2 linked regions of the Drosophila melanogaster genome follow. The protein of the gene in region 1 interacts with the protein of each later gene in a pairwise test. Each region holds a gene or a part of one and is shown on either strand. Other genes may lie near its edges.

What was found.
Region 2: the proteins of Rab39 (region 1) and GCC88 interact in a two-hybrid assay, tested with the Drosophila melanogaster proteins (2 studies listed by BioGRID).

The regions. Positions count from the first base shown.
Region 1 is NC_004354.4:7,732,991-7,737,283, forward strand, and holds Rab39 (Rab39), read left to right. Parts: upstream 1-1,932; 5' UTR 1,933-2,237; coding exon 2,238-2,345; intron 2,346-2,773; coding exon 2,774-3,322; 3' UTR 3,323-3,766; downstream 3,767-4,293. Other genes in the region: Pdp (pyruvate dehydrogenase phosphatase), read right to left, coding at 1-499, 1,029-1,142.
Region 2 is NT_033777.3:11,227,414-11,232,236, forward strand, and holds GCC88 (GRIP and coiled-coil domain containing 88 kDa), read right to left. Parts: upstream 3,188-4,823; 5' UTR 3,037-3,187; coding exon 2,955-3,036; intron 2,902-2,954; coding exon 1,077-2,901; intron 1,009-1,076; coding exon 828-1,008; 3' UTR 758-827; downstream 1-757. Other genes in the region: CG17726 (uncharacterized protein), read left to right, coding at 1-757; CG17187 (uncharacterized protein), read right to left, coding at 3,396-4,295; Dph3 (diphthamide biosynthesis 3), read left to right, coding at 4,604-4,711, 4,781-4,823.

The sequences.
Region 1 (4,293 bases):
AAAGGGCCACGTTCATGGTGCGTACATCGTTGCTGGTCAGAGCCTCCTGCGAGATCTCTTCATCCAGCTGGAGGAAGGCGTTCACCAGTTCACTGGATACATCCCGTTGCGGTGTCTCTAACAATTGATTGACATACTTGAGGAAACTAGCCTCGTACATGGGCTTGATCATGCTAACAAAGTCCACGTTGTCATTGTGGCACTTGAGGAACGACTGGCTGTCGGCACCCTGCTTCATCTGCTCCCGGAGCACCTGGCGCGGCAGCGTGGCCGCCGAAACATAGCGAAGCAGTCGCTTGGACACCACTTGGCCACATGCTGCTCCCGCATGCCCGTCGAAAATGCCACAAATGAAGCCGTTGCGGTGCAGGAAGCTGGCCTCCGTGCGGGAATCCTCGCAGGGCCAGTTTGATCCCAGCTGATTTGTTTCATAGCTGCGGATGACTCCATCCACGGGAAAGTTGTAAACGAACTCGTTCTCCCTCAGAACAAGGTTAACCTGTGAAAATAGTTTACATTAATACAGATTCTTACTCTTTATGTGGGAATTACAAAGGTTCCCATGGTAATAGTTATTAATCAGTTAATTCTTATTCGGTTCCTAAAAATTTTGTTCTTAAGCCGCTTGGTATGGACTCTTGTCCAGTGCAAACGATCAAATGAAATTAACTGCTCAGTAAAGGCATTATAAATGGTTGCTGTAGTTGAAATATGAATATGGAAAATCGAATACAGTCGGGTCGACGTCGTTCACTTTGTTTATAGGAAAACACTCGGGACTTTCTTGAAAGCCCTTGAAAGTAGTTATTGGATCTTCAGAAAATTATGCAGGCTTTATAGTTAAATTTTTAAACGGCTTAGGGATGTAATGCATAGATTTGTGGTTTCTAAAAGTAGCTTCAATAGGAAAAATCCAAAATAATTAATAAGTAAAGAAGTACTTTCGATCGAAGATCTTACAAACTGATTACATTTTACGAACCCTGCCCAGCTTGCTAATGACACTTGCCAGGAACCCCAAATCTTACATCGTATGGACTCAATTGAGGCAGTTGCGGCAGCAGACGCAGTGCATTCAAACTGAACTCCCGCACATTGGATCGCACGTAGCTGGCGGCGTCGTTCAGCACGAACTTGAACATCTATATGGAGATTTTGTATATGCTCTCGCCCCGCTGTGGCTATAATTAACGGTAATGATATTGGTTCCGTAACCAAATCGGGGGAGGAGTAGGCAAAGAAGATGGAGGAGAACGTGGTGGATTCCGTATCCCGGAGCCTCCGGCTGATTCACCGACTCCGGTTGCCGGTTGCTGACAAAGGGATCTTATTTTCCGCTGTTGCTTTTGATTGGCCGGCGGCTTGTTTGTACATTTGTGTGCTGTGAAATACGAAGCGGACGGTGTTCACGGAAAACAAACGTAAAAAGAAAATACAGTGCGTACTAGCGATGGGTTTTTCTCTGCACGAGACAGCCTAGAACGAAAATGAACACGCACGTCTTAATTTATGTGTCAAAGCACTGTACAAGGCCAAATCTTTTTGTGTAATTATTGTAAATTTATTAGCTTAATATGAAAGATTATTTTATTTTTTTTGTCATATTTTCTCAGAACAATTTAAACTAACTACATTTGTATGCATTCATCGTGTCACGCGAAATCGCGTTCTTTGACCATCTCTATTGGGCGGCGGTGCCAGACTGGCGGTGTTGCCATTAGCCGGTTACCGTTTTCAAGCCAAGTCTAGCTAGTTTTTGTGTACCGCCGAAAAATACATCTAAGCTTGTTAAAAAATCTGAAAACTGCCAAATTGATGTGAGGACACTATTTTTATTAAATAATTTAGAAGATATAACTGTTTAATAATGGTAATGAAATAATTTCATTGTGGCTACTATCGATTACTTTTGCTGGTCTGGCAACGTTGTCATTATCACACACACGCGCACGCATATGAGAAAAAAACACAAAACAAAACAAAATTCGAAGGAATTTGAATTCTCGAATATTTATAATTTAACAACCACCAGCGACAGCCGGAAATATCTCATTGCAAAGCCAGTAATCGTGTGAAGAACAGAAAGTTTCGATTTGCAATACAACTGCAGGAAATAAGAAGAAAAACGAGCAGCATAAGCAAATCAACGATTTGCGTATCAAACTTTACAAAGGGAAGGCAGATTTTTTGCTGCGGATTCAATTCCAAGAGACAAATCCCTCGAATTCGGCTTCGGAATGGTGGAACCCATTTTCGAGTATCAATTTCGACTGATTTTAATCGGCGACAGCACCGTGGGCAAGAGCTCGCTGCTCAAATTCTTCACAGACGGCAAATTCGCCGAGGTGCGTATGTCCAACGATTTTGGCCACTGTACTTGGACGCTTGGCCCACTGTGCGATCTTCGTGAGATGCAGTTAATGCGTTCATTACATAATTAAGTGATTGCATTGGGCGAGATACAACAAAAAATAGACAAAGGGAGTGGATTTTAAAAAGATGCTGCCTTAGTCACCTTGTCAGTGTGTGTGTGTGCTGGTGTGCATGTTTGTGTGCTCGCCTGATAATGCAGGCAGCAAAAACAACACACAAGTCCAAAATAGGACCAGGGATACTCAAATAACTGCGCGGGAAATTTAAAAACATAGAGATATCATGAATTGTGTGGAATCAAAAGTGTTCTCAAAAGCATTACAGCTCTAAACTGCGTTTCTTTTTACTGCCTCCCAAGAATCCACCTAATCATAAATAACACAATATTTACATTTTGCAGTTATCCGATCCCACAGTTGGCGTCGACTTCTTTGCCCGCCTCATCGAAATGAAGGACGGCACACAGATCAAGCTCCAGCTGTGGGACACTGCTGGCCAAGAGCGCTTCCGTTCGATCACCAAGTCCTACTACCGGAACTCGGTTGGCGTGCTGCTGGTCTACGACATATCGAATCACGCCAGCTTCGAGCACATACCGCTGTGGATGATGGAGGCACAGCGTCACATTGAGCCCCACCGCCCCGTTTTCGCATTGGTCGGCTGCAAACTGGACCTCATCAATGCGGGCGGACACCGGGAGGTGACCACAGAGGAGGCACAAAAATTTGCCAAACAGCACGGTCTGCATTTCGTTGAGACATCGGCCCGGTCTGGTGCCAATGTGGAGGAGGCATTTCGCATGGTCACCCAGGAGGTGTACGCCCGCATTCGATCCGGCGAATATAAGGCGGAGGATGGATGGGACGGCATCAAGTCTGGCTTTTCGCGACCCAATAGTCTGGACTTTAATCTCGTCGTAGCAGAGCCGGAAAAGTCATCATGTTGTTGATTCACCCCGACCTCATTGTCTATTATTTTCAATACTGTTTATGTACATTGATTTGTATCGTATGACCCACCAGTACTCCTTTTCCCCCCTAAACACCAATTTGTTGACTCTTTAATCTTGTTTAATCGTCTAGTTTAGCTAAAAAACCAAAACAGTTACGTATATTTACACAATGCGTTTTTTTTCTAATTACATATAGTTAATCGCTTTTAAGTTAATATTTAGTTCGGTGACTCACGGTAATTAGTGAAGATTGAGTTTGAACCCCTCTTTCCAAATTATGTTTACTTCGCCCCTATAATTGATAGCCAGTCACACGAGGTATACGTAGCCGAGATTCTGCGCTCCTAACTCATACAACACATAACTCCACATACACAAATACGAAAGGAAAAGCTATACATATACTTAAAACTTGAAATATAAACGTTTTTATTAATACGGACGGCATGCATTTGGTTAATCAAGGGTTAGCTTGGGCTTTGTTTTTGTCTAATCTAATCGATTTAGAGTTTTTATGCACATTTCTCCGCTTTGTTAAATCAAAGGAGTCTTGAAGCAATTGTCAAAAAAGCAACCTGTGTGATACACAAACGTTCGTAGCTGCACGGTTTCCAAAATTTACAATTTTACAATAAAAGAATTCGCGGCATATTTGGCGGCTGTTTACATATATGTGCTTTATTTCGTTTATTAAATTTTTCGCAAAGTTTAGTCCACTTGATAGATAACCCAAAACTTAGCTGCGACGATTTCTATTGTTGTTTTACACCTTCGTAGTTGTGCTCAATCAATCTAGATTTTGTTGGAAATTTCCATAAATATTGGTGGCCTCATCGGTCTGGCAACAACAGGTAATTCCTTTAATTCTTTAATCATTACTTGTTTCTTAGTAGTGCAAATTAAATAATGTAATGTAAAGAAGTTGGAAAAATCTTTTTCAAATTTGTTCGCGCATGTGACAGTGTTCC
Region 2 (4,823 bases), on another chromosome or scaffold:
ACAGTTGCCCCATTACCAGGAGGGCACAACGGCCAGTGGAACGAAGGCATTCTGGCACCGTCGGCTAGAGGATGTGCCCCAGGGATTCTCCCTAGTTCTCGCCCACGAGTTCTTCGACGCCCTGCCTGTGCACAAGCTCCAACTCGTAGATGGCAAGTGGCAGGAGGTGCTCATCGATGTGGCATCCTCTGATGGCGCACAAGAAGCTAGCTTCCGATATGTGCTCTCACGTAGCCAAACACCCGTTTCGAGTCTTTATCGACCGCTGCCCGGCGAGACACGATCCTGTTTGGAGCACTCCCTGGAGACGGAACGACAGGTGGGACTGCTCGCCGAGCGCATCGAACGGGATGGCGGCATCGCTCTAATCATGGATTATGGCCATTTTGGCGAGAAAACCGACACTTTCCGGGCCTTCAAGCAGCACAAGCTGCACGATCCGCTGGTGGAGCCGGGCAGTGCTGATCTCACGGCCGATGTGGACTTCAAGCTAGTGCGGCACATTGCCGAGACACGCGGAAATGTCCACTGCTGCGGTCCCGTGGAGCAGGGACTGTTCCTGCAGCGAATGCAGGGTGAGGCTCGACTGGAGCAACTGTTGGCACATGCGCTGCCCGAAAACCAGGAGATCATTCGCTCCGGCTACGAGATGCTCACGGATCCAGCCCAGATGGGCACTCGCTTTAAGTTCCTGGCCATGTTTCCCGGCGTGCTAGCTGCCCACCTAGACAAATACCCAGTCGTCGGATTTAGTTAGTTATCTATTTAGGATCTGTTTGTAGGGTTTTAAATATGTTGCACATGATTGTTGAACAAAAGTACGAATGTTATTTCTTCTGGAATGATGCATTGATCGCCTGCATCTCTGCGGCGGTGAACTGGAGCACCGCCGAGATGGCGTTCAGCATGTGACGCTTGCCGTCCGCGTCCCGGGTAACAATGTAGCTGATAATAACGTTCTTCAGGTACTCCAGATTGGCACCCTCGCGCGTCTTGCAACGTTCGAGTCTAGAATGGGAGTAGAGATCGTGGCATGACTTTCTAAGACAACAACGATAACAACGACAACGACGCACCTGTCCACCTGCTCCTTGAGGCACTCGATCTTCTCGTGCATTTCCTGCTGAGATGTCACCTTGTCCTGGATCGCCTTTCGCAGCGTCGACTCGGCGGCGTATTTGGCTTTCCGCAGTGTCGTGATTTCGATGTCCTTGCGCGCCAACTCGTTGGCATAGTGCAGCATGTGGCAGTTCTCGCCCATCGACATTTTCTTGGAGCGCACCTTTAGCTTTCTTTCCCGCTGCTCCCCCTCCACGCTGTCGGTGTCGGAGGAATAGTGAAAGGAATCGGCAGCTGCTTCAAGTGTGGGTGTGGCCAGTGTGCTGCCCACACCGCTGGCCGAGTGAAAGACCTCGAAGGAGGTCTGCAGTGTCTTAATCTCCTGCTCCTTCTCATCCAGCAGCTGCAGTGACCTCTGGCGCTGCTTCTGCAGTAGCTGTTCCAGCTCGTTCAGTTTGCAGCGCGTCTCGTTCTCCAGTTCAGCCTTGGCTTCCTGCCACTTGGTTCGTTCGTTCTTCAATGCCAGGCGCAGCTTTTCGCCCTGCTGCTTTAGTTCGACTTCCGCCTCGTCGATGTTGCGATTGAGCACCTGCACCTTCTCCTGCAGCGTTTGGATGTGCGAGTGCTGCAGCTGCACCTTCTGTTCGAGTAGCTGTCGCTGCTGCTTGGATGCCTCGAGCATTTGCTGCACACCCTGAAGCTGTTGCTCGCAGTGGGCGTGACTCTCGACTCGGGTAGCTGTTTGGCCGCTAAATGATAGGATCTCCCCGAGATCCAGTGGATTGGCAGAACGGGCATTGGCTGTGGTAAGCAGTTTCTTCAAGCGCACCATCTCGTCAACCAGCGTGGCTACGTCCACATCTTCGTTTAGCGCCCTTGAATTGGATGTTGGACGCACATGTGCCTGCTCTAGATCCTGCAGCTGCTGCTTCAAATCATGGATGCTGTCCTGATCTTGCTGACGCAGGCGGTCGTAGCTGCCGACAGTGGTGCTGAGCTCCGCCAGGCGTGCCTCTAGACTGGCCACGCGATCCTCGTGCAGCGCCGCCTGCCTGCGACTCTGTTCCTCGGCACGCAGCACGCGACGCTGTTCCTGACGAATGGCCACTGCATGCTGCTCCTTCAGTTGCTGCATCTCAAGGCGCACTTGCTGAAGGAGAGCGGCGCTGTCCGCACTCGCTGACGCTGCTGCAGAGTGCTCGGTCTTGGCCTGGAACTGTTTCAGCTGGGAGCGAGCCTCCTTTAGCTGGGATTGCAATTCCCGTAGCCGGCTATTCTCTGCCTCGTTGCTGGCGAACTGGGTCTTGAAGTTGTTTAACTGCATCTCAATGTTGTCCTTTAGATGCCGCTCGTCCGCATAGAGTTTCTGCAGTTCGCGGATCATGAGCATTTGGTTGTTGGTCTCTTTCTCGCGCTCCTGTCGCTCCACGATCCACTTGGCCTTGATCTCGTCCACGTCGCTTTTGGCCCGAGCAGCCTGCTCCTTGGCCCGGGTATTAAGCTCCTGAATGGTCTGCTCCTTTTGGGCGATTTGGCTGCGCAGTTGCTTTTTATCCGCCTGAAAGGAGGCCTCCATGCGGGATTTCTCAGCGGAAAGAGTGGCCAGCGAGTTCATCAGGGTGATAATTTGGGTCTGCAGTTGACCCTCGGCCGGGGGAGCAGGCGGACCCGGTGCAGCGCCCTCGGTTGCTCCATCCGCAGAGTCGGTGCTGGTTTTTTTGGACTCCAACTCCCTGGCCGGCGATCCGGACTCGCCCACCGCCGTGGCCTCCGCATGCGCCGCCAGACTCGTCTCCAATGCCTCCTTCTCCTTAAGCAGACCCTTGTAGGCAGTGACCACGTCTACAAATTGGGCTCATTAATCCATTTGCATTGCGAATTCATCTATGTCTCACCTTTTAGACGCTTTTCATAGCGCCCCAGTTGCTCCTTTTGGGTGGACACCAGCGCCTCCAGCTCCCTCTGTCGCTTCTCCATTTCGCCTTGAAAGGGAATTAGTTCATTTACTTTCAGTTCGCTTAGTAGTTCAATTTATTTATCTCCCGTGTCATTTTTGCATTTCTTTTAATTAACAAATTTCAGCAGCTGGCACGCGGGCCTGCCAACTTGTCATGTTTGCTCAGGCACTAAAAATTGCCATCATTCTGATTTAAACTTTTTTTTATTTTTGCGGTTTTTCAAAAAATAATTAATAACCAAATTTACATAAATTAAAAACTATTTTAAATGTAAATGTATTATAAATCAGCTGCATAGTTGCTAAATTGAGATATTTTCAAACATTAATATTAGTCCAATTAAAGTAAATTAAATGTTGAGCCTAACTAAATCTTATTTCATTCGCCCTCCTCGTCCTTCATCATCTGCTCAATGAGTCTCTTACGTTCCTCAGCTTGGCGCAGCTTTCGCATGACCAGGTCCTCGTAGTCGGTGGATGACGCACTGCACCCAGTGGTGGCCGATTTGGTTGTCTGCTTGTCTGCCGCCGGCGGCGTTACCCACTCGAAGTGCAGCGGCTTGGCGGGATCGCCTTTTTCGTAGGCCAAGACCATGTCGCAGGCTTCGCGCGTGGCCAGCTCCACCATGGCGCGTCCGCGTCGCTTGCTGTTGACCACCAGGGCCACCACGTCGCCGTACTTCTTCAGATACTTGAGCAGCTCTTGCTGTGTGTAATCCTGGCCAGGTTCGGCCTTCCACTTCATCTTGATGCGATGCTGGGCGGAATCAAACTGGACCGGCTGTTGCTGCAGTTTCTGTTGCTCCGCGTGATTCCGCCGGAACTGCTCCTGCATGGCTCGCTGCTCCTCCTCCAGCAGACGGGAGCCCTCGCGTCGCAACCGCTCGATCTGCTCATGCAGCACCTCCTCGTCGCTTTTGGCCACCGTGCTGTAGGGTTGGCTCTTCGCCAGTTTGTGCAGTGCCGCCCGTTCACGTTCCTCCAGTTCCAGCTTCAGCTTCTGCCGCTTCCCGTCCAGTTGGCGACTCCTCAGCTCCGCCGCCTTCTTGGCCTTCAGCACTTTGTCATAAGCTGCGCGCGCGGATTCATCCGTGAGGATCTCCAGAGCCTTGGACAACTCATGGAAGCGCTCGACTGCCTTCGGATTGTCCGGATTCTTGTCGGGATGGCACTCGAGGGCCTTCTTGCGGTACGCCTTGCGTATCTCATTTTGATCAGACTCGAGAGAAATGCCCAGAAGATCGTAAAGATTCACGTCACTGTACTTTTTGCTAGCCATTTAGTCTTATTTTACTCCTTATTCAACAACTGGAACATGGGTTTGTTTTGCAGTTTGTCTTTTTTGGGCAAAAGTTAGCTAAAATATACTATTTTATACGAGACTTATTTCACAACTGCAGCCGGCGGTCCAAAAATGTCCAAATAAAACATTTGCAATTGTTTACTGGATCAGCTGTTCGCTGCAACGAGTTGGCAGCCCCGCAACACAACGTGCCCATTTGTTTGGCGTGGATTAATCTAAGTTATCGCAAAAAAAACTCAAATATAATATGACCTTTAGGCGCTGAATTAAGCTGAAGGTACGTCATGAGCATCTATCACGACGAGGTGGAGATCGAGGACTTCGAGTACGACGAGGAGGAGGAGATGTACTACTATCCCTGTCCATGCGGCGATCGATTTCAGATCTCCAAGGTAACGAGTCGTATACGCAACCTTTTTTTTTCTGGACTCCCCATATCACTTGGTAAATTTCCACTTTAGGAGGAGCTAATCGAGGGCGAGGAGGTGGCCACCTGTCCCAGCT